Lonchura striata: one gene and its partners. The main gene of each other region encodes a partner of the protein of the gene in region 3 in a complex. Links are inferred from orthologs where the notes say so. Each region holds a gene or a part of one and is shown on either strand. Other genes may lie near its edges.

Region 1 (7,436 bases), on a different chromosome or scaffold from region 3:
GAAATCTTTCCTATTATCCAGTCTAAACCTCCCCTGCTGAAACCTGAGGCCATTTCCTCTTGTCCTATTGCTTGGGAGAAGAGACTGACCCTCACCTTCCTAAATACAACCCTTGTCAGGTAGTGTAGAGAGTGATAAAGTCTCTCCTGAGCCTCCTTTTCTCCAGGCTGAACACCCCCAGCTCCCTCAGCTGCTCCTTGTAGGGCTCCTGTTGGAACTCAAAATGTCTCTCAGACATTTTTGGAGGTTCCAGGCCTTGATCAGAAGCATTTTAGACTCTGGCAGGCAGCTGCAAACAGCTGTGATTTTGAGTTCGATCTACAGAATGAGTTACCAACTTTGGAGGTGGAACAAGCAGTCACAAAAGCTTAGATAATATAGTAAAAGTAGTTACAAAATAGAGGGGAAAATTTTTTAGTATTGTACAGGGGGAGTTTAGCACCTGTACAAGGGGTTTTTACTTTGTACATGGGGGTCAGAAGTTCTAAGATGGAGGAAAGTGGGCTGATCCTGTTCTTCCTCCTTCTTCTTCCTTGCCTCCAGGTTCTTGGTGATGCTGGCACTTATGGATTGGTTTAGAGTAGAAAAACACCTTGTAGCATAGGTAGTAGGTATTGGGGAAAAACTGTAAACATATAAAACATAATATAGCATATAAAAATAGCAGCATCCCTGGGCGGGGAGAGAGAAGAAGAAGACAGCAGACAGTGAGGGTGTCAGGAGTGTGTGTGCCTCAGCCCGGGCCGCTGACCAAACAGCCACAGTCCGCAAAGACAATCTTTTAGATAACTAACAATAAACTGCCTTGAGACCGAATAACAAGAGCCTGTGGAGTTTTTCTTTGGAAGCACGGGTTGGAGGAGAAATTTCACCACCACATGGGACCCCAGAGCAAGCCTGGGGATCCCACAATGGTTTCTTTATATTCTCCTTTTCATACCTCTATTGACAGTATTAGCTGCTGAGAACAGAGTTTTATCATGTTCTATGCAGTTTGATGGGCTTCATGTCAAGAATAAGACTAAACAAATAGAGAGATTACAAAAACTCTTGCTAACAGTACAGAAATATCAAAGAAAGATTGATCCCATTCACTAGATTTTCTTATCTTCCTGTTTGTCCACATGTCATTCAGTATTTATCATTCATTTATAGCCAATTTGATGATATTGCAAATTAAGGAAGAGTACTGCAAGTACATTTCCGTATGATAAAATACTCTTCAGCTACAAATCAGACTAGCTCAGTTGAATTCAGTAAGTTATCTTCTTGTGTGCATAGTTTGATTCAAGTTTATGTTTTTTCTTCTATTTCTTCCATTTATACAATGGACAGCCTGCAGCTGGTGTACATTGCACACCCATATTCATTTCCATGGAGTTTAAATGATTCAAGACAGTTAAGGCTCTGCCATTAGCTTTCTCATTTGACCCCAAACAAGTGAAAAGCTTTCCTTTTTGATCTTTATTTTGGATTTTAATTCTTGAAGATCTATAGCTCACGTAGTAGTATCTTCTACAGTATATGGCATATCACTGTTCAGTCTGTAAAAACGCTGCCCCACACATGAGAGGGCAAAAGCAACAATTTTGTGACTGGAAAAGGAAAGGAAAAAGCAGTTTCTTTTTGAGCCCTTTGCATGCAAGCCCAGAAATGTGACTCAGGTTTTAGAAGCCCCTTTCCAGTCCTTAAACATGTAGGAACATTTTACCCTGGTTTCAAGACCAACCTGCCTCTGCACACCTCCAGGTGACAGTAGAGGATTGTTATAGTCTCATATGTCACACTTTGCAGTTGGGAAAGGAAATACACCAGCAGCTCACAGGAAATTCTGCTTTCACAGTCTGTCCTTGTGTCTCATTTTGGAGATTTACTAAACTACATAGAGAACTAAACTCCATACTTTCACATAAAAATGATACATGAAGAATTAAATTGAAGCATTCTGATTCCCCATTTAGCCACTAATATATCTATTCTTTGACTAGATTTATAGTGATTTGATGTATTTTGTTTTAGAGATTGAATGACAAAAAAATAAATAGAAGAGGCTGCCATACACTGGATCAGCTGTAATCCGTGACACAAAATCCAGGTGAAGAAACTAATTTTCTCTTTAGTATTAATTTTCCCCTCCAAAAGGGAGAAAGAGATTTTTTTTTTCACCTCCATATTTCTCCCCTTCTGCACACTCAGGAGCAATAATTGCTGATGAAAGTGCGTAGAAAATTTGACAGGCTAGGAACTTTAAAATGTTTTAAATAAACTTTTGTGATTCTTTCCCCACATTTGAGTGAAGACAAGAACATAGGAAAAGCTCCTAAAACACATCCAAACTAGGGTGGGAACTCCTTATGCCACAACATTTTAAGGCCCTGACTTTCCTTGCAGCCTTATGTGTGAGGCTGTTGGAGGTTTTTTGTTGTTTTTTCCTTTGTTTGTTTGTTTGTTTTGTGGGGATCTAAGTGGTAGTTAGGGTTAATGCATTCTTACTCTTTTCCATTTCTCCATAATGAAAAATTTAAAATCTAAGTGTTATTTTTCTTTTCTTTTTTTTTTTTTTTTTTTTGCAATTGTGGCAAATACTAATTATACCTCAAACTTCTTTTAACAGAGCACTTATAAGTGACATTATGACATTCTTTTATGTGTCATTATCAGAGACAACCTAAATTTTGCCTGCAAAATCCAAATATAATTAGTGTGAAAAAGACACAGGAAACTCAAGCCCCCCACAATGAATGTAACATTTTGATTATTAAAGAGTGTCTGCAGGAAAACATCTGCAAAAGAATACTCTGGGATTTACAAACTACCCCTTTCTTATTCTCCCTTGTTGAAATACAATGTTTAGGTTCTCTTGAAGTACCTCATGTCTTCTACACTTTTTATCTCTTAAGGAAGAAGCAGGTGCTGAATGGCCGTAACATTTAGCATAAGTGTCCAAAGCAATTTAGATATAGATAACAAGTTCAAATCCAGTCCAGATTGGACCAATATTTAGTGGGGACACAAAGTCATGTGAAAATAATTACACAACAGCAGAATTTGTAGAAAATAGGATGCAGCATTACTACCACCAGCAGTTAATTTGGCATTTTCAGGAGGTCAAGGGATCCATGGACATGAGATCCTAAAGACAGCCCTGAGACATATTAATGAACCTGATCAAGGAAGTTCAACCTGTTCCTGTGTTATCAACAGATGAGCTTTTATTGTGTAGAGCTTTTAATTTTCAGAATCTTTGGCTCCTCCAAAACATTAGCTTCATATTTAACATATTTAAAAATCACAATGCAGAAGTTTTTTGAAGATCATATTTTAAATTAAGTATACTTGATATAGCTATAGAATAAGATTTTTCTATGTCTGGCATTAACGGATATGCCAAAAAGTTTTTACACTCTGTCTTACCAAATAATTATTTTACTCTCCTAAATCAGTATTAATGTTTTAGAAGTGAACCAGTAAATGTAAAAAAAATGAGAGGAAACTTAATGTTCATGAATACATAAAATCCCCAGATTTTTATAAGTAATGCTGGATCTGAATTAAAAGACCTTGAGAGGGAAAATTCAGACTGGAAAATTATTTACTAGAAAACAGGAAAGCAGTTACCTAAGCCTGTAAAGGTATTTTTATATGGCTAGCTACATCCACATTTCAACTTTATAATTATTTGCTGGATTTGATTTAGAGAATTTGGGATGTCAGAGTTAAAGGATCTGCCTCATCCACAGGTGTCTGTAACATCAGTGTGTGGTGTGGGGTGCTATCAGCAAATTTAAATTTCTCCCTAAAGATGAGCCAGTACATCAGTGAACGGTTTCTGGCAGTGGGACTTCTTATCACATTGGGGTTCTGGTTTGTTCTTGTTTTTTGTTTTTTGTTTTTTTTTTTTTTTTTTGTTGTTTTTTTGTTTTGTTTTGTTTTTAAATTGCATATATTTTATTAACTAAGTTTCACAAATGTATAAGCATTACGAAGTAGATCAGCACTCGAGACTAAAGAGAGACCCGCTACGTACAAACCAAACAAGTGACGAAAAGCTATTTCTTTTTTCCTGTTTTTAATTAATTCGCGCTTTAAAAAAGCAGAAAACATCCGGCGTACAAAGCCGACGGTCCGCACCCACGTGAATTACCACCTCATCACAAGGCCCAGAAACCGGGAGGGGAAAGGAAAGGAAGGAAAGGAAGAGAGAGAGAGGAAGAAAGCGAGAGGAAGAGAGGAGGAGAGAAAGAAAGAATCAAACAAAAACACAGCAAAAACAAAACAAAACAAAACAAACACACAGGAGGAAAAGGAGCGATTTCCGCCGCCAGGCCGCTGCCGAGCCCGCCCCGCCCCGCAGTGAGGGGGGCGGTGCCGGGCGGGGGCGCCCTCCGCGTCGGCGGCGCCGCGCGCCTCGCCTCGCGAGAGCGGGCGAGGTTTCCGGTGTTGTGGCTGCGGGCCGCAAACATGGCGGCGACGCTCCGCGCCCGCTCGCTCAGGCACCTCCGCATCCGAGGTGAGGAGCGTCCCGCGGGCCGCCCCACCGCCGCCCGCACCGCCACGGTGCCCGCCGGCGTCTCCCGGCGCCCCCGCTCCTCTCCTCCCTTTTTCTTCCTTATCCCCGGCTTCTTCCTCCCCCCCCGTCTAACGCGCCTCTCTCCCCCCGTCCCCGCAGGTCGGAACGACAGCGGCGAGGAGAACGTGTCCCTCGATCTCAGCCGAGGTACGGCCGAGGCGGGGGCCCGCCCGAGGCGGGCTGGGGGCGCGGCGCAGCGGAGCGGCCTGGTGGTGCCGCGGGGCGGGCGCGGGGCCGGGGCCGCCGCCGGGGGCTGAGCGCAGCCGCCCGCGGGTGGGAGCCGCTCCCCGGGCACCGTGGCGGGGCCGTGCCCGGGCAGCTCCGGAGCCGCGGGGCTCCCTGCTCTCCGCCGTGCGTGCCGAGGCTGCTCGGCCGCCGCTGGGGCTGCCCTTGAAGCCCCTGTTGCTCGCAGACAGGGTTGTTCACGGCGGCCAGCCTTCCGGCCGACCGTGCCCTGCGTCTCCGAGCAGCAGCTCGGCAGCGGCGTCTGTTCCTCTACTCCTTACTCCATTCCTTTTTCGTGTATCTCTGCGTGCCCTAGGCCGGCTGGCCACCCCATTTGCCGTGAGCCTCTTGCTCCAAGACCAGCGGCCACTCATCTCCCGTTTGCTTGTTAAATTGCTTCAAACATCCTCCACTGCTCTCAGACGGTCTGTTGTGGCGGGGGGGGGGCGGGGAGGGGGAATGATAAGAGGAAGGAAACAGCGCTGATATCTGCTACACGCTGAGAAGTTTTGTCTCAGACATAACAGGTACTCGTTCCCTACCCACACGTATAGGATACAAAACGTGATCTTGCCTAGCTGAGTACTGAGGTAAGACTTAGACCCTCTCAAAGAGACTGGTATAATTCAGAAAGCAGACTTGAATGTTACTGCTCTATAAGTGGCGATATTTCGTGGGTAGAGGATACTTGTCTGGGGAGGGAATGAAGTTGATACTGGTGTGTAACTGTTCTGCTTCAGGAGATCCAGGATGACTATTATGCTGAATAGATCTATTTTATGGGGAAGTCGGTAGGGAAATGACAGAATCAATGAGATAAAAGTGGCCTATGAAATGGAAAGGAAGTAAAAATACCAGCAGAAGAAGTACTGTTTTCATTTTAGAATTGTTGATACTGCATTATACGTTATTTAATTCTCTTTTCCCACAAAGTAAGCTGTGTTTAGAGTTATTTTATTAACCAATTTTGTCGTGGGCTGCAAGTTATCTCTGTGTATACATACCATATTTACAAGTGAGTTTTAATAACCTGGCAAACTGCTGGGGTTTCCTCAGTTTAAAGAAACAGACTCTTATTCTATCTCCCAGTGGACATGATCACTTTAGAGAACTGCTGTCCTTAAAAATTAAAGCATGTGAAGCTTTCATCAGCAAAATGTGGAAATGAAGGCCTTAACAGTTTAAGCACATGACAAAGTTGTTACTGTAAGCAATGTTGCCCGTTTATGAAATCTGCAGAATTAGTATTTTAATGAATGGGTCTTGTAATTTTTTTTAATGTTCTGTAGCATACTGAAATATTTTGAGGTGAAAGAACAATACATGAAATTTAAATGCTGGAGTGGTACTTTCGAGATGTGGTCTGTTTGAAATCTTCTAATCAGTATTTGATAGGTGACCATCATTGTGATATTGATTTTTGCCATGCGGTGTTTTCAGCTGCCTGCTGATTCCAAGAGACCTGTAGTAGTAGCAGCACAACTATTACACGTGTATAATATTGTAAAAGAGGCTCTTGAGTAAGATGCAAACTTCATTTTTAATATGTGCTTTCATTTTATTTTTTTATTAAAAAAGGTATTTTGCACTGTGGCAATGTATCTTCTATTACCAAAAAGAATAAATCATTGGGGAAATCACATGAGAAGCTACTTTAAATTTAGATGTTAAAAACCCAGTGGTTTTCGATTTTCTGTTAGAAAGACTACAGCTGACTGATCAGTAACCGTATAGCACTCTATATCTGTGTAGATATTAATTGCATTTTAAAGAGGAAACAAAAATAAGAAGCTTAAAAGTCTCAGCAAGACATTAAGCTAGAGGATAACTTGATTTCCATGGTGAACACAACGAGTATTTGTTTTTCCAGCTGTTACAATAGTTATGTAAGCAATTATTTTAAATATTTTGTTACCCTAATTTGGTACTAATAGCACAATGTTTTGATTCACTGTGTTGTGCAGATCACATAGTTTTCCACAGGGCTCACGTTTGCATTAGCTTAAAAGAATGTTCTAATGTTTTTTGTTTCCTGGTACAACTGAACTTTGTGTTGATTAAAGTGAAATATCTGATTTGGGAAAGCAGAGAATTGCCATAAACAGAGCCTCAGCCATATGCTTCTAGTTACAGGGGCCTCTTTGTTACAAACACAAGAAATTATATTGGTACTGCCTTATTTTGGATAGGTTCCTGTTAGTAATGGCATGACTTATCCCAGAGGTTAGACCTTGACTCGTCCATACCTGTGACTACACTTTCCATGCAAGAGGCCAGTGCTGTTATGAAGAATTTCAAAACAAATAATAGATGTGGGGAGAGCACTCCAGTCTGTGCTGCCCTGAGTTCTGCTTCTTCCTGGCTTTTTGAGCAGTAAGGCTTGAAGAGTGCCTTGCTGCTTGCAGAGTGATCTGCATTTCTCTGTATAGTTTGGTTTGCTCTTTTCTCTGGTCCTGTAGTTACATGGTTGCTCATGTTTTCCCAGAAGACACCAAGCTTTTTACAAAGTTTTAACATGACTGCTATACTAGGTTTACTTTTTGGAGCTTTTTGGTGCTTTGCCTTTTTAAAAATGATACATTATGCTTATGAAAGCCATGTTGCATGGTGGTGAATGCTTCATTTTGTGTGTAGGTATGTG
Region 2 (7,982 bases), on a different chromosome or scaffold from region 3:
GACAACATTTTAAAAATTAAACAATCAATGTGGCACAGGAGGCTGGAAACAAAATCTTGTCTCTGCTCTGTCTCCAATACATCAGTTAAAAGTCTGCCTCCCGGCAGCTCTACAGATCACGTCACTGCTATTTATTTCATTCTCTGGTTACCTCTACCGCTGGCATTTGATCCAGTTTATCAGAATCTGGCGTATCAGCATACCTGAGGAACAGAGCTGGGCAGGAAGAGCACTGACTGAACAAGGATCTAGGGAAGCCGTGCTGTTCCCGTGACACACTCACAACATTAGTCAAGATCTTCCACTTCCTACACCCACATTTTCTCTCTCATTCTTGGTATGTTCAAACAGATGCAGCAGTTGCCAAGTAAATACCCCTGCCTCGATGCAGGTCGTGCATCTTGCAGTAACTCATGATTACCCCAAGATTTTTGTGATTTCACCTTGTTAAGCACTCTATTTCATTACCTTGTCTCCACCATTTAAAAAGATTAAGCTGAATTAATTTACATATTTTGGGGCTGTGTTTTTTCAGGGATGAATTATGAAATAGTTCCCCTAGGATTAAGCTACACCATATATTCAGATTTTTGAGCAGGCTGTACTATGAATTTGCTGCACTCTGATGTCATCCCACCCCTTGCCTTCAAAAGTACCTCTGAATAGACACCAAAGCTCTGGGCCAAACACCCAGTGGTATCAAAATCTGCTGCCATACACAAGTCCTATTATATGACAGTAGGACCTGGAATATTTCAGAAGAAGTATTCCCCATCACTGGGAGCAGCAAAACCTAACTGATAAAATGCACCTGGAGCCCACAGTACCTAACAGAAGTAACATAAATCCTGAGACCTGAGAGCCCCCACCAGAGTAAGTATTCAGCAAAGTCCTCTTCAAAACACATTACATTCAAAACAGACTCTGGAACCCACTGATCTTTTGGGAAACATTGCAAATTCCTTTAAATACAAAAGCAAGCAATACAACCAGGAAAGGTACAGTCTCTACATGTGAGATCCTCTGCCTCACCTTCTATAAAAGAAGTGCTATTCAAACCTCTGTGTATTTAATGACACGATCCACACCCACTCAACAAGCACACCAGGAAAAATGCCTTTTTCTGGAGCTCTTACAATTCACCAGAAATGCATTCTGAATACCAGAACAAAAATGACGTCGTAAGCTACTGAAACTAAGAAAAACTGTTGGCAAAGAAGGTATAAATAGACAACAAAAAGCAGTGGTGCTGGTTCTAAACCAACAACAATAGGCGTTCCTGATTTATGAGGCCCATTGTCATGCAACAGGCTTGAAAAGTCACTTTACCCCAAGAGAAGTCCCACAGAACTATAAGTATACCTTATTTGATACAGATCCTGAATGCCCAACACATGCCTTACAAGAAAGGGTCAGCAAATTAAAAAACAAGTTTTATCACAAAAAGATAAAATTGCTATAAGAAAGAAAAACAATGTGAAATCTAGTGACTTTTGTTTAAAAAACAGTGACAAGAGCTGTATTGAAAAATATTTCCTCTGCATTTAACAGTTTTCCTTTTTGTTCATTAACTATTCTTCCCTTGTATAAAACACCTACAAATAAGAAAATTCAATTTAAGTTACCTATAACTTGTTACTGTATTTCTGGTTACTAAATCTCTACATTCTCTCTCTTGCAGTTATTAGCAGCAATATCTGACAATTATGCGTTCTTCAGCAGTTCCCAAAAGTTAGGACTACATGTAAAATCCATAAAGCCAGTGTAATATGAACTTTTATTTTACAGCATCACCTTGGCTTTTTTTTTTTTCACTGCAACATACTGGCCAAAATACAGCCAAAAGAACGGAGTACATGGAAGGTGCACAAACTGAGACCCAAGACTGATAGCAAAGCATAGGAAAAAACGTCTGATAGAGACCAACAGAAACCAAAATTAAATCAAATACTTCAGAAAGTGAATAACTATACTGACTGCTGTAACGGCCGGACAAGAAAAAGATGCTAGAGATGTTCAAAACCAGTAATGTCCTTGATTTACGAGCCGAACATCACACACCAGATAAGATCACTCTCCAGACAGTTGTTACTTAACTCGAGGCAGAGGATGATAATTTCGTTGCAAAGCAAACTGCGATTCTTGGATTCCTTCCAAGAATTTCAAAGCGAGAAGGGCACAAAACACTCACAGAGCACCTCGCAGTAAATCTCCTAACTTCCGAAGTTTCCAGGTGCACACACACAGCGTTAACGGCACAACAGGAGCGCCCGAACATCTCCCGGAGCCGGGCTCGGCGCAGCCCGCAGCGCCCCGGGAGCGCCGCCCGGGCTCCGCCGCCTCCCCGCGGTGCCGGCGGAGCCCCGAGCCCGCCGCGGCTCGGAGCGGCGCCGCGGCTCGGAGCGGCCCCGCGGCTCGGAGCGGCCCCGCGGCTCGGAGCGGCCCCCGCTCGGAGCGGCCCCGCGGCTCGGAGCGGCCCCGCGGCTCGGAGCGGCCCCGCGGCTCGGAGCGGCCCCGCGGCTCGGAGCGGCCCCGCGGCTCGGAGCGGCCCCGCGGCTCGGAGCGGCTCCCGCGGCTCGGAGCGGCTCCCGCTCGGAGCGGCCCCGCGGCTCCCGCTCTGCTTTGTCATCCCGCCGCAGCGGGCGCCGCGCTCCGCGCCGCTCCCGCGCTCCGCCCGCGGGCTCCGCTCGCCCCACACGGCGCCCCCGGCCGCGGAGCGACCCGCGGCTGCGCGCCGGGAGCCGCGTCCCGACTTCCACCCGCGCCGTGACGGTGACCCCGGGCAGCGGCGGCTCCTCGCAACTTGCCTTGGGTTTGTACAGCCACTTTCTGAACCTGTTCATCATCACCGCGGCCGCTGGCACCCCGCTGCCGCCGCCGCCGCTGCCACGGGAGCTGCCGGCTCCACACCCGCGCCGCTCGGAGGACCGAGGCGAGCCGTGCCCCTGGCTGGGAGCTCCCCGGGTCGCGCTCTGCTCCCGCTCCGCCGCGCTTCCCCGCGGAGCGGCCGCCGGGCGCTCCCGTCAGCGCAGGGACCGTCCGGCGGCTCCGCGCGCGCCGCGCCGCCCCGACCGCCCCCAAAACATTGCGCGGCCGGCGGCAGCGCCGCCCCACCGCGCATGCGCGACACCGCCCCCGCGCCCTCCCCTCCCCACCCAATAGGGTGGCGGCCCGGGGCGGGCACGCGCAGTTGCCCCGCCCATCAACCTGCTCATTTGCGTAACACGTGGAGGGGGCGGGAAGATGCGTGCCGCGCAGGCCACGCCCCGGCTAACGCCTTGTTGCGGTGGCTGCCGGGAGTTGTAGTTTTCCGCGGGCCGCCCTGCGCGCGTCCGCTCGGGACTCGCAGACCCTACCAACGCCCGCCAGCGCTGTCCGTGCTCCAGCAACCGGCGCGCCACCGACCGCTGGCTGTCCATGAGCGGAAACACCCGGGGGAAAGGTACTAGCTCCGTGGCAACGGCAGCAAACAACCGCCGCCATCTTGTTTCCGCGCTCGTGTAGTTCCGGGTGCCCGGTCGCGCCGTTTCGCAGCACTGAGGCGGGCTCGCAGCAGGACTACAGCTCCCAGCAGCCCTCGCGCTCCTTGGCAACGGCGCGCGCGGGGTCGCCGCGGCTGGAGGGACCGCGCCGGGACACGGAGCAGCCCGGGACGGGAGCGGCGGGCACGGCCGGGGACGGGAGGGGCAGCGGCCGGGCGAGGCAGATGTGGCCGTACGTGACACCCCCGGAACGAGCCGGGTGCAATTCCCGACGCGTGAAAGCGGCGGGTGCCCTGGGCAGGCTCGTGGCTCCTTCGCTCCTTTGTTTTCATGCAGTCCTAGGATCACAGAGTGGTTTGGGTAGGAAGGAACCTTAAAGCTCATCCGTTCCCAACGCCCCCGCCCTGGGCAGGGACACCTTGCTCGGGAGCCGGCTGCTCCAAGCCCCATCCAGACCGGGCTGGAGCACTGCCAGGGATGGGGCACACACAAATCCTCCGGGCAGCCTGTGCCAGGGCCTCACCACCCTCACAGGGAGGAGTTCCTCCTGAATGTCTAATCTAAACCTGCTCTCTTTCAGTGCTCGTATTTATTAGCTGTTTGTAAGTACAACAGAAAGCATCAAGGGGCCTTACAAGTGTGTTATGCTGTGGACAGGGTTGCTGGGCTTTGTCCCCTGAAATTTTGGGCAAGTAGCCAGCCTTGGTGAACATTTGTTAACCCACCTCATAAACATAGTAAAACTTATTTGCAGAAGGTTTTGTACAATAAGTATTTAATTATAAAGTTGTGCAAGCTAAGAGATAAAAAAAATACCACGTCATGTTAAGGAAAACACTTGCAGTAGGTATGCAAAACATTCAAATACATGAAAAGTAAAATTAAGATCCTCAAAGTGAACATTTTCCATCTGATCTGTCTGAATTTTGCAGGGAGGCTTAGTTCAGCTCTTTTTAAGGACAGCTTTCATTAGAGGAAGTGCAATCACAGTCTTTCTAGGCCAGGAATGTGGGAGCAGATATAAAACCTGAAAGAACCTTTCAGGTCACTGAAACCAATTCCTACAATTGTGGCCACTCTTATCCTCTGTAATTGCTTTCAAAATATCTCCAAGCTCCACCATAAAATAAGGTCAAGTCAGGTTCTCGCCTCCTTTAACTGAAATCTACAGCTGATAATGGAAGAAAATTTCTGCCATTTTATACACAGTATAAATTTATATCACTTTGATACATAATAACTGGAGTAGTTTTCTAATCGATTGTGTGGAAATAAGGGTGCATATCATACAAGAAGCATTTTATTCTCAATGTGTATGTTTTTAAAACATTGCCAAAAATAATAACAGCTTATTAGAAGTGGGGTCTTTTCTATTAAGACCCCCTATGTGTTCAGAGATCTGAAGGCATCTTAGTTTTCACATTCCAGTTTTGGGGCTTAATGATTGTTATTTGGGAGGAGGTGTGGATATCAGAGCATGAGAGCTCGAATTTCTTACTGGTATGCCAGAACAAAAAGCATTTGTTACTGGCAGAGCTGTTGGAGCCTGAATTATGATTCACTCTGAAGTACAGAGATATTCCTCCCTCGCTTATCCAAAATCCCTTGTGAGTGTAAGAACCTTGGCAGGTTCTTACCTGAGAAAAAAATGATTCTCAGAGGAGTGGAGTAACAGTGATTCCCTTGCACAGTGGTGCCTTTTTCTGTATTTGTCATCCCTTATTAGGATCCAACCCTGTTTTGCTGGACTTTTTTTTTTATTTAGACATTTTGTCTTAATCATAACAGGTACCTAAATGGCTATAGTGAATGTAATCACAGACAAACTCTTTTTTTCAGTTCTTTGAGATTAGGAATGAAAAGTGCTTTTTAGGCAATTACTTAGTAAGATGGTACTGAAAGGTAGAGTACAATACCACTGTGTCTGGAAATATTATCATAATACTTAAAACGGAGAAATTAATTATGTTTACCACAGTGGGGATGAATCATCTGGATCAGGCATTCTTTATTGACGTCAAAATATTGTGATATATAAAATACAAGAATTATTTTCAAAATTACATTTTTATTTTCACCATGGAAAGGTGCTTTTGTTCTCTTTTTTTTTTTCCCATTGCTAAACCAGCTTAATGACTTTCAGGCCTGGTAATTGCTGTGATTGGTCTTTCATACACAACAACGTGTGTGTGTGTGTGTGTGTGTGTGTGTGTGTGTAGGAACAAATGCATTATAGTTCTTGTCATCTGAACATTAAAATTGAGGTAACAAGTCCTACACATTCTCAGACATATGGGTAAGGCTTCATTTGAGAGAGACAAAATCCAGTCATTTCACAAGAAAAGCATCAAACATAAATACTCAACTGCTGTGCCTTCACAAACCTTGGCAGTGGCCCAGACCACTGAAATGCTGTGATCATGGCCCAGCCTGCTGACCAACAGTCACTGCTTCCTTATAATTCCTCTCTGTTCCTGTTCTTTTGTTGCTTTTGAAAAACAGGCTGTTTACAGCAACATGTGATGAAATTTAAGACTAAAATTTTGCTTTCTGATACATCTCACTGGGAACAGCAGTGTGTTAAGTAGGACCTGTGTGCACACAGGGAAAAGTCCATGTTTCTTTCTATATTATCTTTAATTATATTTTGTCAAATAACCTGGTGCAGTAGCATTTATCCTTAAGATATTTTGAGATATTTACAATATGTCATTTTGTCTTTTGTTTTCTTGATGTTTGTACTGTATTTTCATTTCCCCTGTCAGCTGTTCTGAGTAACTGTGATTTTGAAAGCTTGACCTAAATGTTCTCTTCTGCATTACTGCAGTCTAACTTCTGTATGAGCCTATCACCATGCATTATGCCACAACTGAAGGAGGCACGAAAAAATAATGATTTTCTGTATTTATAGGATTCTCCATGGTGAAGATGGTCAGCCACAGAGAACTTATTGCACTAATAGTGCAACAGCTTAACAAATTCAACCCTGAATATCAGAGCATGGAGGATTTCTTGAATGAATCAGCTATGATGTTGCAGGTATATTAAGTTTTGGTTGATCTTACACAGTTTACTTTGTTACTGTGTGATTTTAAATGCAAAGGTATCTGTTTTCTAACGTGTTGTTGTAGCTTTCATTGATTTCCCTTACAGTGACATTTTTTGTTCATGAGTAAAGCCTAAATTTCTTATGGTTATCACCAGAAAACATGGCAGTAAAGCCCAGAGGGGTTGAAAAACTGCTTGGATAACAACAAGAGGAAGGGAAAAAAAAGCAACAACCTTCTAAAATTGATGAGATAGTCATAGGGAAAACTTCTGTTCCACTTCTGATTAAGCTGTTTTGAAGATTCTTACTCTTTTCTTCCTTCCAAGCAGAAGTTTCTGACAGCACCACCCATTTGTATGTACAAATGCAGGTCAGAAGCTGAGTCACAAGATCAGGTATTCTTGCTTTGAGGACATAAGTGACCACCACAACAGTGGGATAGAAGGACAGTGACAATAAATCAGCCAGCAGATTCTAATGTAATACTGCAAGTAACCAGACCATGATTTTCCCATTTGTTTCTGTTCTGGCTGAAGCAGTTTCCATCCTTTCCTGACCATAATGTGTCACCTCTTCCCATCTCTTTGTCCTCAGTGTCACCCTGAATTGTGCTGAGGCAGCTAGTGGAGTGAATCAGCTTTAGCAAATCACTAAGGGAAAACAGTAATATTGTTTAGACTGCTATTGTCTGTGTGTGCCGTGTGTTATCAAATGACATTGCTGGAGCCCTGATTCCACACTGCCATGTGGCTCCAGTGCTCATTTCCCCTTCTGACAATAAGGTATAAACCACTGCTATTCCAGTCAGATAGTCTTTTGCATTGATTTTGCATAAATACAAATGAACTAAAGGAATATAAAACTGTGGAGGTGTGGTAAGAAAGCCAGGGGCTGAGCAGTGGCTTCACACCCATTCCTGGGGTGCTTGCCTTCTCCAACAGTTGCCACTCAGGCCCCTTTTCTCTGACCCTGCCCTCCTGCCTTGTAGTACTGGCTTAACTCTTTGTGATTTATATTCTAATTACATCAGGGAACTGATCCAGTTTCAAAGTAATCATTTTTCACTGGGCAGAGAGCAGGTAAATTCAGTTACCACTGCTGCCAAAATAAATGTTTACAAAATATGAGTCTTCAGATCATTGTTCTTCTCAGCCCAGGAAAGGTGATAGATACAAAGACAAAAGAAGGAGTGAAATATGAATTAATTAGTGAAATATGAATCCAAAGTTTCATAATAAACCCTTTAAGAAAGGGAAGGACAGGGAGGATAGCTGAGGCCAAAGGCAAGGCCAAAATCTTTCTCTGGGTTACTTTTAGGTCTCATAGAATTTATCGAAGAAAGTAAAAAGTAAGACCTGTGTTTATATAAAATTCAATTTTGGTTCAGTACCAAATGGGTGATTAAAATTCATCATGAAAAATTCACTTAATTCTTTCTTTTCTGTTTCATA
Region 3 (7,991 bases):
TGGAGGAGGAGATTTTTGAGTTCCTCTGTCAAAACCAACGTTACTGGTTTACCTTCCACAGGCGAGCCAGGCTGGATTTCTCCATTCTGGGACTCTTTTGGTGGGATCCCAATCTCTTGGCGGTTGCCCCTCTTATCACAGATCATCAAACCAAACCGGTTCTAGTTCTGGTTCCGATTCCAAAGCAACCTCCCTCCCCATCTTTGGGCTGGCATTTCCAAAGGCAGCTCCATGAAACAGCTTCCAGATTCCCAGGTCTCAAGTGAGGACAGGATGAGAAATCCCTGTAAAATGCTGAATTATTTCTTATCAGCCAAAGGGAAATGTCAGGTCCTGCCTGTCCCGTGGGAACGTGGGCTGCAAAAAGAAGCTGAAGGCTTTTGGGCTGAAGGCTTTTGCCAGACATGGGAGGAACCAGCGGAGCTCCCGGTGATGTGGGGCGGTTTTGTCAGAGCTGATACCGATCTACAACAGCGACGTGGTGTTGAAGGAAACATTTCTGCGCTTATAACGAGGAAACCAGAGGATATCTGCCGAGGTGACATCGATCACGTGCTGTTAAAACACGCATAGCGCCGTCACCTCGCAAATTGCCCGGCCTGGAGGAGACAGAGGGAGATAATGATAACGGATGAGCGGCTCGGAGATGGATGCCGGGGCTGGAGAACTCTATTAACAGCTCCTCCAAGCCCTCCGATCTATCGCATCCCCGACTATCGAGTGCAGCCTCGCTCAGGCTTTATGAGAAAAACAGCTCCATTAAGCAGCCGATTGTTGTCAGTGTGCGCAGGGGTCGCTTGAGTCTCCCCTGCGCCGCCGGGAACACAGAAATCTTTACATTTGCCGTGAACTGAAGTCGCCTTTGGGGTCAAACGCGGCGGCTGCTTCACGGTCTAAATGACTTCCAACTTGTGTACTACCTGGAATCCGAGGATGTCAAATGCACTCATTAACGAAACTCTACAGCCTCTGATTCATCCGGAAACTCGCCCTTTTATAGCTCAGGGGAGGCAAAGCCAACAGATAAAACTCTCAGATAAATCTTCTGCTTCCAAAATCTGCATCACCTTTCCTTTTTCCCTCTCTTTTCTTCCTTGGTGAAAAATTTCCCCTGATGCCAAAGTGTTTCTTCCATTAAAAGAGCAAGGAGAGATTTTTGACCTAGTATTTATTCTGGCCTTTTCAGCGTGAGACGAGAACATGAATCCCTGCATATTCCCAACGGGTGCTGCTGACTGAGATGCCACTTTACACCCTTTTTATGTCTCCCATATTTTTGAGGCAGTTTGACTGTGCTCAGAAGAGCACATCCCTTCACATCGGGGGCTGGGGCACTGCAGAACAACGGGTGTGGGAAGAGGCTCAGGGGGCACCTCCTCACTCTCTAAAACTCCCTGGCAGGAGGGGGCAGCTGGGGGGGTTCAGGCTCTGCTCCCAGGGAACAACAGGACAGGAAATAGCTTCAGGCTGTCCCAGGAGAGCTTCAGGTTGGATATTGGGGAAAATTTCTTGCTCCAAAAGGATTGTCCAGCCCTGGCACAGCTGCCCAGGGCAGTGGCGGAGTCTCCATCCCTGGGGGGATTTAAAGGCCTTGCAGATGTGGCACCTGGGGACATGGCCAGTGGTTGGGCTTGATCGTCTCTGAGGACTTTTCCAACCCAGAAGATTCTGTGGTTCCTGTCTGGGCAGGGAAAGCCTCAGCTTTCCATCCCTGCCCCGGTGCCTGTGCTCGGAAAGGCGGAGCTGCAGCAGGAGCTGCTGCAGGAGCAGCTGCGGGGAGGAGACACAGCACCAGACCCCCCCGGCAAGGGATTCGGGGTTCTGGGGAGCACCGGTGCCTGTGTGAGGATTGCTCGCCTGCAGCGAGGGGGCAGCGCCGGGAGCGGCCGCGGCTGCTCGGTCTGGCCGGGGAGGTCACCGGGAGGCTTCCCGAGCCGGGAGTCAGTGTGTGAATCATGTTTTGATGCGTATCGGCTTTGGCCCAGAGCCCGCCCGCCCCCTTCTCACCTGCCTCCCCGGGCTCCCAGCCCCGACTCACATCTGCTGGGAAGCAGGGAAGGAAATCTGTGTGCCGCGCATGCATAAATAACACCGCTGAAACCCGGCTTGCTTAAAAATAGATATTCTTCCCGATAAATATTTTACCTACTGTCTTTAGGCTGTAAAGCTGCCCCGACTGAAATGTTAAAACGAACCTCGTTTGTTTGCCCCTAAATGCCCCAAACAGGCAGTGCTGGGCTGAGGGGTTGCCCTGGGGAAGGAACGTGGCCACCTGCACTCCAACACCTGCGCTTAGAGCCTCAGGGAAGGTGGCCTGCTGGCCTGTGGGCATTGAGAACAGAGCTTTGCATCCAACTGACTCACTTGGTGACCTGTGGGTTTGAGTAATGGAATCAAAATATAAGATCTCTCATGATATTTATGAGCAACATTCTTCTTTCCATATCTGTATTTCTTCCTGCCCAAAAGTGGAATTAGAATTAGATGGCTGAATAAGGCAAAACAAAGGACATCGACAGAGCCTGAGATAGGAGGATTTTTCATTAAAAAGAGTGACAGGTGGGAGAATGTGTCCAAATGTGTCTCTGGAAGATAATCCTGCATTTTGGGTTTAAGGGCATCACTCACGGTGCCTTACCTGACATGATACTTCCACTCCTCGGATTCCCTGGGAGCAAGGGGGTAATTTAATCTGTTATTCTGTCCAGAACCTGGGGCTGAAGGCTTGCTTGTGCATGGAAAGGGCGCTCCTGAGGGCAGCACTGGCACCACCTCTGCCCTGGCACGGAGCTTTGGCAGCAGGGAAGGCTGGCCAGCAGTGCCGGGAGTGAACAGGAGAGGGTGGAACCCGCAGTGGGAGCCGTGCAGTGGAGAGGCCAAGCTGAGATCCCGTGGGAGCGCTGTGCGTGCCCAGCAGCCAGGCTGGTGGCTCCCAGCCCACAGCCAAGGCAGCACCGCTGAGCCCTCCGTCCCCATTGCTGTCCCCGTGCCCATCCCCGTGCCCTGGAGCCCGGCCAGCAGAGCCCAGCTCACCCCAGAGAAGCAGGGCAGTGTCCCAGGCAGCCCAGAGGGGACGGGCAGCCCGAGGGAAGGGCATGGGGCACGCGGCTCTGCCAGCTGTGCCCGCTGCCAGCTGTGCCCGCTGCCAGCTGTGCCCTCGGCGGGGATTTCTGCGGCACGCTCAGCCAGGCCGGGCCCTCGCTGCCCAGAGGGATTAGGGGGATCCATCTGTGCAGCCCCAGGGACTGGGATTCCTTCAGGTGCGCTGTTGGGGTTGTTTCTCTGAGCCCTCCATGGCAGCATGTCACCCTGTTCTTTTGAAGGTTTTAAAGTTCTTTTAAAAGTTTTCTATGCCTTCTGATGTTTATATATTTCTACTGGAGTTTCTCACACATTTTTCATGTAAATAATGATTGTTTTGAATTCTTTTTTGTGGGAGGAGAGAGTTGATGGACTTGGTTTGACCAGTGTGGTTGGAGAGGTGGCAATTTCTTCCTCAAATCCACTGTCACTTTTGGAATTCTGTATATTGCGAGGTCAGAAATCAAACTTGCTTTCTTTTGCTCTTTTGATCTTAGCGTGCATGTGTGAGTTATTTTGTGTTGTAGTGCAACAGCAGCAGGTTGGAAATAAAGATCTTTAAGCTGCCGTCCCACCCAAAGCGTGCCAGAATTCTGCAATTCTCTGGTTTTGTGTGGCTGCTGTTGAGGAATTCATTAAAGGCTAGCAGAAACGAGGCCATAAGCATTTTCTGCAGCCAGGCAGTTCGTTCTGATAACAATCATGCAGCTATCATCAGCCATCAGCACAAAGCACCATGAGGCAATGAATCAGCTCCTCAGGAAAGGGAAGGAGAAAAAGCAGAAGTTGGCCACCCCAAGAAACATCATTTGCCAATCTCCCAATCTCTTGTAAAGAAAGGTCATTGCATTGGAAATATTCCATGAGTGTAAACACACTGAAAGTATATGAAAATTAATGGTTCTGTAAATCAAATTACACACGTATATTCTTTAATTTCTACTTTGAAATAATGTTTACACATTTGAGTATTACAAATGTGAATGTGGCAGGGCTCGACTACCACCAGGAGCAAACACTGAGGAACTTCCTTAGCAGCAATATTTGCTATCCATTAACCTTCAGCTGAATGGCAAGGAGGATCTATGCCTGAAATGCTTCACCTGCCTTTCCTGGTGTGTGCAGTGACCATGCACCAGACACATCTGCAGGGGGCTGTGCCCGGTTTCAGCACTCTCCTGCTCTTTTGCCCCAGAGTAAACGAGCACACAGAACAAAGCGAAGTGAAGCCCAAGATCAGGCATGGCTGCGCTGGCACCTGTGCCTGGCTGTGTTGGAGCACCAGGACACGCCAGGGTGAGGCCGGCACTGCTCCCAGCCAGCAGCTCGGCATCGGGGATTGGTTTTCAGCTGGGTTTGAGCTGAGTCTCCTCGGGGAGAACAGGGACAGCAGTGCCACACAGGGACACCAGGAGCGATGGAGAGGGCGCTCAGGCCTCGGCAGGGGCTGCCCAGGGCGGTTTGGAGCGCCCATCCCTGCAGGCGTCCAGGGCATCCCTGCATGTGGCACCCAGCGCTCCGGGCTGGGGACAAGGTGGGCACGGGGCACAGCTGGGACTCCATGGGCCGGGAGAGCTTTTCCAGCCTCGGGGTTTGGGATCCCGGGATTCCCGCGCCGGCCGCGCCGTCCCCGTGGCAACGGCCGTCCCCGCGGCGGCGCGGCGTGTCCCGCGCGGCGGCCCGTACCGCGGGGCATTGTGGGCCGGCCAAGATGGCCGCCCCCGTGCCGCGGTGCTGAGCCCAGCCGCGCTCGCCGGCGCCCCGGGACGCGCGTCCCGTCCGCCGCCGCCCGCCCCCGCAGCGCAGCTCGCCGAGCCGCCCTCGGCCCGACGGTGTGCGAGGGAGCCGCGATGGGCCGGGCGCGGTGCCCGCCGCAGGGAGCGCGGGGCCCGCGGGGGTAGAGGTGCGAGGGAGGCCCCGGGCCCGGTCCCCGCCGGTCCCTCGGTGCTCCCCGGGCCGCGCCCCCGAGCCCGGCCGGGGCCGCTGCCTGCGCCAGGTGAAGGCGCTGCGTGCCCCTGGTCCGTCCGTACCCGCGCACCGGGGAGCGCTGCCCCCGCTGCCCTTGCCCCGGCCTCCCCCTCCGGCCGGAGGGACCCCCGGCCCCGCTGGGTGCCGGGCTGGACATCGCTGCCCACGTGCTGCCCGGCGCCTCCCCGCCCATGGAGTCTGAGATGCTGCAGTCGCCTCTCCTGGGGCTCGGGGAGGAGGATGAGTCCGACCTGACGGACTGGAACTTGCCCCTGGCCTTTATGAAGAAAAGGCACTGCGAGAAGATCGAAGGCTCCAAGTCTTTGGCTCAGAGCTGGAGGATGAAGGACCGGGTAATGCTCCAGGGCACCGTGGGGTTTGGAGCAGGAGCAGTCGGGGGACATGTGGAAAAGGAGTCGGAGCTCAGAGGGGGCTGAGCTGTTGTCAGGTGAAACGCTGCCTGTGGATGCCACAGTTTGTGTCCCAGTGCTGCGGGACTGGGGCAGCAAACCTGCAGCTGGCCCAGAGGCACTGCTGTGATGTTTACAGCCCTGGGCATTTGGAGCAGCTCCACCACTTTGGCGCTTTAAATGCAGCTTGGTGTGTTCTGGGCAAGGCAGTGAAGCACCCGAGGTCAGGAGGAGCAGCAGGTGCAGGAATTGCAGCTGCACAGGAGCTGGGTGGGTTTGCTGTGCCAGCAGGGTGCTGTGTGCAGTGTCCAGTGAGGGTGTCCTGTGCACAAACAGCTTGTGGGATTTTGGAGGCAGGACACAGTTTTCAGACAGAACTCTGGCTGTGTTACAGCAGGAGCTCCTGGGGTGTCTGGGGACATGTTGTGTGTTCCTGAGAGCACTGGGAGTGACAGAGACACGTCCCAGCTGGGAGTCTGGGATCCTCTGCTGCCTCTGTGGGATGTCTCAGTAAAGAGCAAACAAAGCACCTAAGAAATGTCCTGGACCATCATCTGCCCTCATTCTGTTCTTGGAGCCTTGCTGGCTTTCCCAGCTCTCAAACCCATAACTTTGTGTTTCTAGGTATTTATGGGTTTTTCTGGTGACCAGTTTTCCAGTACGTTTATGATCCTCTTGTAACAGGATGGAATAACTTACTGAAACTGCAGGCTGTGAGCTCTTTGCCCAGGCTATCCCTGAGTCTCAGTGTTCCCAGAGTGGTGGTTGCATTTCTCAGAAGTTCTGAACCGTGGACTGCAGGTGGGACTTGGCAGCTCATTGCTGGGTTGAACTGAGCACTTTGGGTGTGATTTAAAGGCAGCACAAGGCAGCACAAGGCACCACGTTGGGTGCTGTGCTCCAAAGCGTTCTGGCACACAGGAGACTTTCTCCAGTAGACTGTGGAGGTGTGATGAGCTTGCTGGTCTATTTTAGGTGCCTCTGCCTTCCTGAGATGTTTCCTGTTCCTTCATCCCTGATCTGCAGAGTTGCCTCTTTCTAATTCAGGAATGACTTTGCCCTGGTTGTGCTGATCATAGGTTGTGCAGCAGCAGCAGCAGCAGCACAAGTTCAGGGGGTGCTCAGGGGTTCTCTTTGGCTGCTGTGAAATGTTTCATGTGCTTGCCACCATCAGTGGCAATCCCAACCCAGCTCCTGCTGCCCGAGTCCATGGAGCTGCATTTCCCTCCTGTGGGACTTTCCGTGCCAGAAACGTCGTGGTTGTTGCTGCTGCTGCTCGGTGGGGCTGGGCCCTGGGTCACTCTGCAAGATGCTGAATCTGACTCTTGTGAAAGAAGAAAATAGAAGCAAAGCTCGACTTTTCAGTTTAGTCCTATTTTTGCTGTCAGCTGGAGCCAAATGACTTCACACCAGGGCCAGTGGTGTGGCTCGGGTGTCGTTTGTATCTGGGCAGTTGGATCAGGGATCCTTTGGACAAACTTGCTGTTGTGTATAATTACGTTTTTGTTGAAGAGCAGGTACATAGGAAGATACCAAAAGCATGTAAAGACACCTGAGAGAGGAAGAGCAGCTGATTTGAGAATGCTCAACCTCATTACTTTTAAATCTCAGCAGCTGTTTGTCATGTCTTGTGTTTTATTCCCCTTTTCAGCTATCACTAGCTGTCTCCCCAGTGCTTAATGAGAGGTAACAACCACAGAACCTCAGCTGGGGAGGGAAGGGGATGGGGCTTGGATTGCTGCAGGGGTGATGTCCGGTAAATATTTCCACCCAGTGAGCTTGAGTTTGGCTAATCCTGCAAAATAGTTCATAAAATCTAATCTGGTTTGACCTCGTGTCCATGATCAGAAGGTGGAGGGAGGGCAGCTCACTCATGCTGCTGTTTTCCCATGGTCCAGCTGGGTGTGACAGGTTTGTCCAGGGAATGGAGCACCTGGAGAAAACCCCAGGAGCTTGGTGTTTGTGGGGTTTTCCTGTGAGGCAGTGGTGGTGTGAGGGCAGCCTGTGCTATCAGGGTGAAAACTGATGGGTTGTTGATTTTCCCCCTTTTTGTTCCTGAACTGCTTTGTTTTGTTCTCTGGCACCATAAATTAATTACTTCTAGTTTCAGCTGTCTTCAGGAAGTTTCTTCTCTTCCTCTTTCCTTGCTTTCCAGCTCTGTCTCCAGGGTGCTGCTGCAGCTCTGTCAGTGCCCACAGCCCCTGGTGTCCCTCTGCCCCTCCAGCTCAGCCCCTTCCTTCCCTGCAGGCCCAGGGGGAGCCTCTGTCCCCATCCCCAATTCTCTGCAGCTCCTGTTGTCTCTTGGCTCCCTTTCCCACAAGCCAGGGCTGATGGACCCGAGGTGTGCTGTTCTCTCTGGGCTGCTGCTGCTGCTGCAGGAGGTTCCCTGAGGGCTGGAGGGGATGTGCCTCTGGCTGTGAGCTGAGTGTGGAAACCTTGCAGTGCCTTCAGTCTGAAAAACGAACTCCTCCCAGCCCGGGCTGGGCCATGCCTGTTCATTAAACACCCCAGCCTGTCTCTGAACGAAGAGGT
Region 4 (7,622 bases), on a different chromosome or scaffold from region 3:
GGTCACTGCTCGCTGGCCGGCAGCCCGTTCCCAGCGTGTTTGGCCCCACGGACGCGCAGCTCGGAGGAAGGAGCCGCGCTGCCCTTCAGGGCCCGGGCGGGGCTGCTGGGACCCCTCTGCTCGCCTGGGGCACCCCGGCATGGACAGCTGGGGGCTGAGGGGTGGGAAACCCGCAGTGGAGGCTGCGGTCGGGACCACCGGCACCGCCATCGCTCCGAGGGCAGCAGAGGGAGGAGAGGTCTGCCCCGGCGCCGTCCTGCCCTGCCCTGCCCGCAGCAGGCAGCCCGAACCGGGCACAGCTCGGCAGGGCTGCAGCTCTTCCCGAGGCCGCGGCAGCGCGGGGAGAATGAGGGAAAGGGGCACCGAGATCCTGAAACCCGGCCAGTGACCAAGGCTGCGCTAAGGCAAGCCCAGGTCCTGCTCCTGCCCCCCAGACCGCTGCGCAATTACGGTTTCAAATTTAAAAATAAATCAGAGTAAAGCTGTTTTCTTTCCTGCGTTGCTGAGAGGAAAGCAGCAGGGCAGTACCTGCAGCAGTTATTCCCAATTTCTGACATTCTTATCAAGCCTTGCAGGTTTCATTTCTACAGGTCCCATCTCCCTCCAGCTGCCGGGGGAGTCCTCCTGCTGCCGTCAGGGCTGCCAAGACTTTACAGATGTTTTCACAGCTCCTTTCCCGTTGTTTCTGGTTTTCCTTCAGCTGTTGCTAAAGCAAACTGGGGTGGGGGAAGGAGGGAGAAGTTTGCAATAACACGGATCTAGATTTCACAAAAAGTGTGGGAAGTATCGAGAAAAAACAACAACAGAAATAGCCTCAGAGAGAGCTTTCAGGCAGGGCATTCCGAGGGAGAGAGGCGCTTCCATGTGGCACTCCCAGCTGTGCCCCAGAGCAGGGTGGGAGGGAGAGGGTCCAGCCCCGCGGGGGGGAAGCTGACAGGGATGAGGGAGCGAGTGCCAGCAGCGCCACATGGAGCCGCCTGCCAGCCCAGCCACACCACAGGACAGCGGCCAAGCTGCCTCGTGCCACCCGGATCTCCCCCTGCCCCTCCTCTGCCCCCTGCATGCCCGGGCACCCTCTGCCCAAGCTGTGCCCAGCAGCACCCATCCCTGCCCCAGCCCCCATGTCCCCTCCTGCAGCCGGCACAGGCTGTGTCTGCCTCCAGCCCGATGTCTGCAGGCAGCAACGAGGAGGAGGAGGAGGAGGAGGAGGAAGAGCCAAACACTGCTCCTCTGGCTCTGGCCATGGGTACCAGGGTGAATCCCGTGCCACTGAGGCTGTTTCCAGGACCCAGGGCTGCGTTTTGGGGTGCTGAGCACCCCCAGCAGCGCCGGGGACGTCCCAGACAGGGTTTCCTGCCGAGGGCTGGGGCCAGCGGAGATGCCCTTCCCAAAGGCAGGATGGGCTTGTTTATGGGGCAGCCTTTATCTGCACGAGCAGCCTCGGGCGGGCAGCAGGGATGTGGCTTCGTCCGGGTCTGTCCTTATCGCCAGCCGCCATCGGAGGGAATGTAAACACAGAGGATGGGGTGGAAATGCCGCGGCACAGGGACATCCTCACTGCCGTGGGGTCCGTCACCATCCCCGCCCTCACGGGGCTGCAGTGGGGTCCCCAGGCCCCCAAGGGGGGTGGGCTGCAGAGGGGGCTGGGGATGAGCCTTCCCGCGCGGGAGACACCCAGACAGGAGGTGATGGATGGGGCGAGATGAAAGCTGCCAGCCCGCCAGGCAGGAGTTTATCCTTCCCTCGGGTTGTTTGCTTCCTGTCTCAGCAAACCTTCCTGTAATCACAGTCCAGTGGGCACCAGTGGGGCGCAAGTGGGGCCAGCGATGGCCCCTGCCCCTGCTGCCATCCCCCAGGGCTGCTCTCACACCAGGGACAGGGACATTTCGTGACTTATGAAACACATTTTCTTCCCCAGGACCTGCAGTGGAGTGAATTCTTCCCCAAAAGCCAGCCCTGCTCAGCTCCCAGCGATCCAAACCAGGTCAGAAGCAAAGGCAGTGCTGGTGGAGGGACAGACACCTCGGAGAGCACTTCTGCTCCCGATTTAGAAGGCAATAATGCGATAACTTCATATCACATGAGGATGACAAAGGGCTTTCCAGCCCTGGGAGCTGCCCGTGGAATGGGCAGATAAAATGCCCTGGAGAGGAGCACTCTGCAACCGGAGGGTGCTGTGGTGTGGGTGGGAGAGTACCCAAAGCCTCTTCTCTGCCTGCAGACAGCTCCCGGGCAGCTGGAGCTCCTGTCCAGGGCAGGAGGATCCCTGTCCCTGTCCCTGTCCCTGTCCCTGTCCCTGTCCCTGTCCCTGTCCCTGTCCCTGTCCCCTGTGTGCTGCCGGGAGCACCGAACTCCAGCAGGCACCGGGAGGGTGACACCCTGCTCTGCCCCAGCCAGGATGTGCCCTAAGCCCCGACCTTCCCCCGTCCCTGACCCCATAACTGTTCTCCAGCAGGAGGAGGAGGAGGAAATGGCAGCGGCCGCCTCTCTGGGTTGGGGGTCACTGCTGATGTCATTCCATGCCGGAAATGTTATTTTCCTGCCCCAGTGCCCACTAATCGATTCAGCAGCTGGCACAGGGCGAGGGCTGCCTGCTTGGCACCACAGCCTGCCTGGGCCCCTGGGGGTGCCTGGGGGCACCACAGCCTGGCTGGGGTCCCACAGGACCTCGGGGGCAGAAACACCCGTGTCCATGGCCAGCCTGGCAGGACGCTGCTGCCCCGCAGAAAACGCTCAGCGACCCCCGGGAGCCCCCAGGGCCCCGGGGCGGGACCGCGGCTCCGCGGGATGAGCCTGGCCCCGGGCTGGGGTCCGGAGCCGTGCGTGGCTGCCGGGCTCCATCTGTTGGAGCCGGGGCCATGGTTTGGGCAGGCCGGGGTTGCTGTGTCCCACCAGAGGAGCAGCCTCACGCCCCGGTCCGGGACAATCCCTGCCACAGCCTCGGTGACCCCGTGGTGCTGCGACACGGGCTCAGCGCTGCCGAAACGCTGCTGGCATCTGCCGGCGGCTGCGCCGGCATCCGCGCTGGAAAACATCCCGGCTCCCGGCATCCCGGCACCCCGGTATCCCGGCATCCCGGCATCCCGTCTCTCATCTCCCGGCATCCCGGCATCCCGGCTCCCAGCATCCCGGCATCCCGTCTCCCGTCTCTCGTCTCCCGGCATCCCGGCATCCCGGCATCCCGGCATCCCGGCATCCCGTCTCCCGTCTCTCGTCTCCCGGTATCCCGGCATCCCAGCATCCCGGCTCCCGTCTACCGGCATCCCGGCATCCCGGCATCCCGGCATCCCGGCATCCCGGCATCCCGGCATCCCGGCATCCCGGCATCCCGGGGTCCCGGCATCCCGGCATCCCAGCATCCCGGCTCCCGTCTACCGGCATCCCGGCATCCCGGCATCCCGGCATCCCGGCATCCCGGCATCCCGGCATCCCGGCATCCCGGCTCCCGGCTCCCGTCTACCAGCATTCCGGCATTCCGGCATCCCGGCATCCCGGCATCCCGGCATCCCGGCTCCCGGCAGCCCGGCCGTCAGCAGATGTCAGCACCGCACCGGTGTCTGGTGAGGGTCAGCAGAGCCTGTGGCCACGGCCGGGGGAGCAGGGAACGATGAAGGGCTTTTTCTGGAGGGTACCCGTGAGCAGGGTGGTCCCAGGGATGCTCGGAGGGGCTTCACGCCAGGTTTCATCCCTGGGTTCCGCAGCCCCCCCCATGCCAAGCCCAGGGGTCCCGCCCGGCCGACCCTGCGCCCCTCCCAGCGCACTTCGGCTGCTCTTTAGATCTCCTCTGTAATGAAGTATTAAGACAAACCCTATTTCCCATAGCTCCAGCCCCACCGGAGCACCCTCGGGGACACAGCGTGGGGGGCGCCGGACCCGTGTGTGGCCCCCCGGCTCCTCCCGCATTTGTTCCCGGCCCTCGGGGGAGGCAAAGCCATTTGGGATGGGGGCAGCCGGGCGGACATCTGTCCCCGCGGCGTTGCCACGGGAGCACCCGGACCTCCCAGAGCGGCCACCCCGCGTGGGCAGCGGCGGCCACGAAGGGGCAGCGCCGCCAACACCCCCGGGGGCTCCGCGGGGTCCCCGCCAAGCACGGGGCAGCGCGACCCCAAAAGCGGGGAGCACAGGCCAGGGGTGTCCAGGGCCAAAAAAGGGAAGAAAAGGGGTGAAAAAGGGAGAAAAAGGGAGAAAAATGGAGAAAAGGGGAGAAAAAGGGAGAAAAATTGAGAAAAATGGAGAAAAGGGAAGAAAAATTGAGAAAAAGGGAGAAAAGGGGAGAAAAATTGAGAAAAAGGGAGAAAAGGGGACCCGCCAGGAGTCCCGCCCATGTAGCGCTAAGCCCCGCCTCCTGTCACTAAGCCCCGCCCCGAAGGGCCCATCTGTATTAGCATAGCCCCGCCCCTGTCGCTAAAGCCCCATCCCAAAGAACACGCTATATTAGCATAGCCCCGCCTCCCTGTCACTAAGCTCCGCCCCGAAGAGCCCATCTGTATTAGCATATCCCGCCCCTGTCGCTAAGCCCCGCCCCCTAAAGTCCAACTGTATTAGCATAGCCACGCCTCCCTGTTGCTAAGCCCCGCCCCTTCCCGGCCACGCCCCGCGGCGGAAGGGGCGTGGCCCTGGCCGGAAGCGGCGGGCGGGCGGCGGCAGCGCCGGTGCCGCTCCCGGTGCCGCTCCCGGTGCCGCTCCCGTCATCGCTCCTGTCATGTCGGGCCGCTGCTGCCACGGGCAGACGCCCAGTCGTGACATCCCGGGCCCCGGCAAGTGCCTCGCCCTGCCCGACGAGGCCCCGCTGCCGCCCGGCGACTACAGCACCACGCCGGGGGGCACCGTGTTCGGGACCACGCCGGGCGGTGAGCGCCGGGCCGGCGGGGGCCGTGCCGGGGGGAGCGGGGAGGTCTCACCGCGGGAGGGACGGCTCGCTTTGAGCGAGGGTTTGCAGGGCCGGGGGAGCGCTCCCGTTCTGTCCCGGGACAAGCGCCGGGAGCCCCCGGCCGGTGCCGGGGCTCGGTGGAGTTCGGGGGACCGGGGCAGCCGGACAGCGCCTGCCCGGGGGTGCGGGGGTGCGTGCTGGGGAGCCTGGCAGGGAGCAGCCCCGGCCTCTCCATGGTTACTGATTAATTCTGAGCGCTGATATTTGCTGTTTTCCCTGGCAGTAATCCCTGGGACCTTTTTCTTTATTTCCAATCGCAAACCGCTCCGGTTTCTGGAGGCGCGGGGCTCTGCTGCTGCAGCTCGCCGTGGGCTCCTTCCCTCTCCGTCTGCTGCAGCCCCAGAGCCGCCAGGAGAGGAGCCTCCTGTAGGGATTTGATCCTCGACTAAGAGAAATAAACTGGTTGTGCCCAGCGTTCCTCTGTCAGACAGGTTTTGTGTCCCCAGCACTCCTTGGCTGTTCATTTTTGGCAGTTTGGCCCCAGAGAAGTTCCAGGTGATGGCACAGGGTCAGCGCGGGGAGTTCCAGCGGCCTCTGCTGCCCCTGAGCCGCGGCTTGGGGCGATTTGGGGATGATTTTCTTTCCACACCTTGTAGAATCTCCCCGCGGTGCCGCTGCAGATCGCTGCATCCCTGCCCGGCTGGATGCGAGCAGCAGGAAGGCTGAAGCCAAAAGGACGAACCGTGGGAGGGCAGGGAGGGGGTGTTGGTTGTCCGATCCCCCGCAGGACTCCAGGGGTTGAACGCGGGGAGAAGGAAGCGGCACTGCTGACTCACCGGGCTGTGTGTGCAGGAGAGCCGAGCTTTGGGGCTGTCCTGGCCCTGCCTTCCCTCCTTGGGAGCAGCGAATCGCTCAAGGCTCCAGCAGCACCTGCAGGAGTCGTGCCGAGGTGTGGGAGCCTTCCCCAGCCCCGGGTCAGGCGGCAGAAATGAAATAACGAGCGACTGGCGCGGCAGAAATGAAATGAGCAATTAGTGGTGCGCAGTAATGAGCCCTCCGGGGCTGTCAGCGCTTTGTCCCCGCGGAGTTCCTGAGTGCCTGGAGCAGGAGGAGAAGCTGGGCCGCGTTTGTGACCGGGGTGTGCCCACCTGGCAGCGCCCGGGGCCGTCCCCGCCTGCCCGGGGCCGCCGTGTCCCGTGCTGGGGACACCGTGTGCTGCTCGGCCCTGCTGCGGTGCTGACGGGAGGGAGGCTCCAGAGCTGCTGGAGGACAGACAGCCGGGGCTGTGTGTGTGCCCTGAGGGGCTTGCAGGGAGCAGAGCATCCCGTGCTGTGTGTGTTTTCCTGCTAACACCCCCTGGCAGCACCGGGGAGCTGCGGGGAACGCGGCTCTGGGTGGGTGCAGGAGTGTGACAGCCCAGGCCGGGTGTCCTGCCCCAGCCGGGTGTCCTGCCCCAGCCGGGTGTCCTGCCCCAGCCGGGTGTCCTGCCCCAGCTGAGTGTCCTGCCCCGAGTGTCCTGCCCCGAGTGTCCTGCCCCAGCCGGGTGTCCTGCCCCAGCCGGGTGTCCTGCCCCAGCTGAGTGTCCTGCCCCGAGTGTCCTGCCCCGAGTGTCCTGCCCCAGCTGGGTGTCCTGCCCCAGCTGAGTGTCCTGCCCCAGCTGAGTGTCCTGCCCCGAGTGTCCTGCTCCAGTTGGCCCCTGGCTTTCAGGAGCTCTGGGCGTGAGGCTGTTGGAGAAAGGTGGAAGCTCCCAGTTCTGGTACAGAGCTGCAGTTCTAGGAATCCCTGTCCTCCTCCTGGAGCTTCCCAGGAATTTTAACACCCCTCTCCCAGGCAGCTGACTGTAGGGATGGATCGTCCTCCCGAAAACTGGAGCTCAGAATCATCAGTTAAAAGCTTTTTGGTGTTTTGAGAACTCCTTGGCAGAACTCAGCTGTTGGACGTGTTGTTTTATGTATTTATTGTATATTTACAGTGTTCAAACCACAGGGAGTTGGTTGCTCCGGGACAGATGGTGGCAGGAGCTGTTTGCCCACACGTGTGTACTTTAGTTAATGCTTTTGGGGAGGGCACAAGGACAAGTCCCTTTCCCTCTGGCTGGAACGGGAGCAGAGCAGGGCACACCTGATCCAGAGGGGTGTGCAGCCTCCTCCTGTGAAGCAAACACTCTTTTCCAGCACTTGCTGGGTTAAGGCTGTGGGCTGTTTGGAGGGATCCCTTTTCTGCCTGTGGTTTTTGAGCTGTTTCCATGAAATTCCTTTATAAGGAACAGGGTGTTCAGTGGTGTTCCTAGAAATCCATGCCTGGAGGCTCAGCGTGGTTGGCTGGAGCTGGGTGGTTCCTGGTTAAGCCTTGGAACATTAACCATCTGTGTAAGCCCTGAGCAAGGTATGTGTAAGTGCTGCTGTGCCAAGGGAAGTGTCTGTGCAGGAATTCCCGCTGGGCAGAGCTCAGAGGGACACGGCTCTGCCCCGTCCTGTCCCCTGGTGTGTGTCCACCTGCAGCTTTCAGCCATCAGTGGGAATTAAATTCAGTTTTCTGTTTGCTCTGTGGGCTGGTGTGACCTTGAGCGAGGTGGAAGGGGCTGGATCTGCTGCTTGCAGCCCCTGCCTGGGGTTTGGAGCCCTGTGCTGCCTTGGGGCAGCAGCTGGCAGAGTTTGGGTACCAATGTGTCACCTTTAGTGGCAGGTACAGTGTCAGCGCACCTGGAATTCTGGAAGGGTAACCCAGGCTGAAGTGCTGCCTCACAGTTATC

What was found.
Region 1: RPTOR (region 3) and RICTOR share a complex: the UniProt entries of both Homo sapiens proteins name them as parts of the mechanistic target of rapamycin complex. The link is inferred for Lonchura striata from reciprocal best matches to the Homo sapiens genes RPTOR and RICTOR.
Region 2: the proteins of RPTOR (region 3) and ZFYVE28 are in contact, whole or in part, in a cryo-EM structure (PDB 9F43), measured with the Homo sapiens proteins. The link is inferred for Lonchura striata from reciprocal best matches to the Homo sapiens genes RPTOR and ZFYVE28. Residues at the interface, in NP_065812.1 of Homo sapiens: Arg54, Arg305, Arg306, Thr317, Asp321, Phe337, Arg338, Leu341, Ala344, Arg348, Leu437, Gln438, Leu440, Leu441, Ser442, Gln443, Arg446, Pro474, Tyr475, Lys478, Leu479, Gln481, Ser482, Ser483, Ala484; in NP_066023.2 of Homo sapiens: Arg399, Val400, Phe401, Phe402, Met403, Asp404, Asp405, Val406, Glu407.
Region 4: the proteins of RPTOR (region 3) and EIF4EBP1 are in contact, whole or in part, in a cryo-EM structure (PDB 6BCX), measured with the Homo sapiens proteins. The link is inferred for Lonchura striata from reciprocal best matches to the Homo sapiens genes RPTOR and EIF4EBP1. Residues at the interface, in NP_065812.1 of Homo sapiens: Arg54, Arg305, Thr317, Asp321, Phe337, Arg338, Leu341, Ala344, Arg348, Leu437, Gln438, Leu440, Leu441, Ser442, Gln443, Arg446, Tyr475, Lys478, Leu479, Gln481; in NP_004086.1 of Homo sapiens: Glu111, Ser112, Gln113, Phe114, Glu115, Met116, Asp117, Ile118.

What each region holds. Positions count from the first base shown.
Region 1 is NC_134642.1:36,611,094-36,618,529, forward strand, and holds the start of RICTOR (rapamycin-insensitive companion of mTOR), read left to right. Parts: upstream 1-4,430; 5' UTR 4,431-4,461; coding exon 4,462-4,510; intron 4,511-4,669; coding exon 4,670-4,717; intron 4,718-7,436. UniProt on the Homo sapiens protein: Component of the mechanistic target of rapamycin complex 2 (mTORC2), which transduces signals from growth factors to pathways involved in proliferation, cytoskeletal organization, lipogenesis and anabolic output.
Region 2 is NC_134606.1:9,003,992-9,011,973, forward strand, and holds the start of ZFYVE28 (lateral signaling target protein 2 homolog), read right to left. Parts: upstream 3,001-7,982; 5' UTR 2,847-3,000; coding exon 2,808-2,846; intron 1-2,807. Other genes in the region: CFAP99 (cilia- and flagella-associated protein 99), read left to right, coding at 6,402-6,521. UniProt on the Homo sapiens protein: Negative regulator of epidermal growth factor receptor (EGFR) signaling. Acts by promoting EGFR degradation in endosomes when not monoubiquitinated.
Region 3 is NC_134621.1:11,400,824-11,408,814, reverse strand, and holds the start of RPTOR (regulatory-associated protein of mTOR), read left to right. Parts: upstream 1-4,991; 5' UTR 4,992-5,240; coding exon 5,241-5,402; intron 5,403-7,991. UniProt on the Homo sapiens protein: Component of the mechanistic target of rapamycin complex 1 (mTORC1), an evolutionarily conserved central nutrient sensor that stimulates anabolic reactions and macromolecule biosynthesis to promote cellular biomass generation and growth.
Region 4 is NC_134634.1:4,353,531-4,361,152, forward strand, and holds the start of EIF4EBP1 (eukaryotic translation initiation factor 4E-binding protein 1), read left to right. Parts: upstream 1-4,611; 5' UTR 4,612-4,702; coding exon 4,703-4,850; intron 4,851-7,622. UniProt on the Homo sapiens protein: Repressor of translation initiation that regulates EIF4E activity by preventing its assembly into the eIF4F complex: hypophosphorylated form competes with EIF4G1/EIF4G3 and strongly binds to EIF4E, leading to repress translation.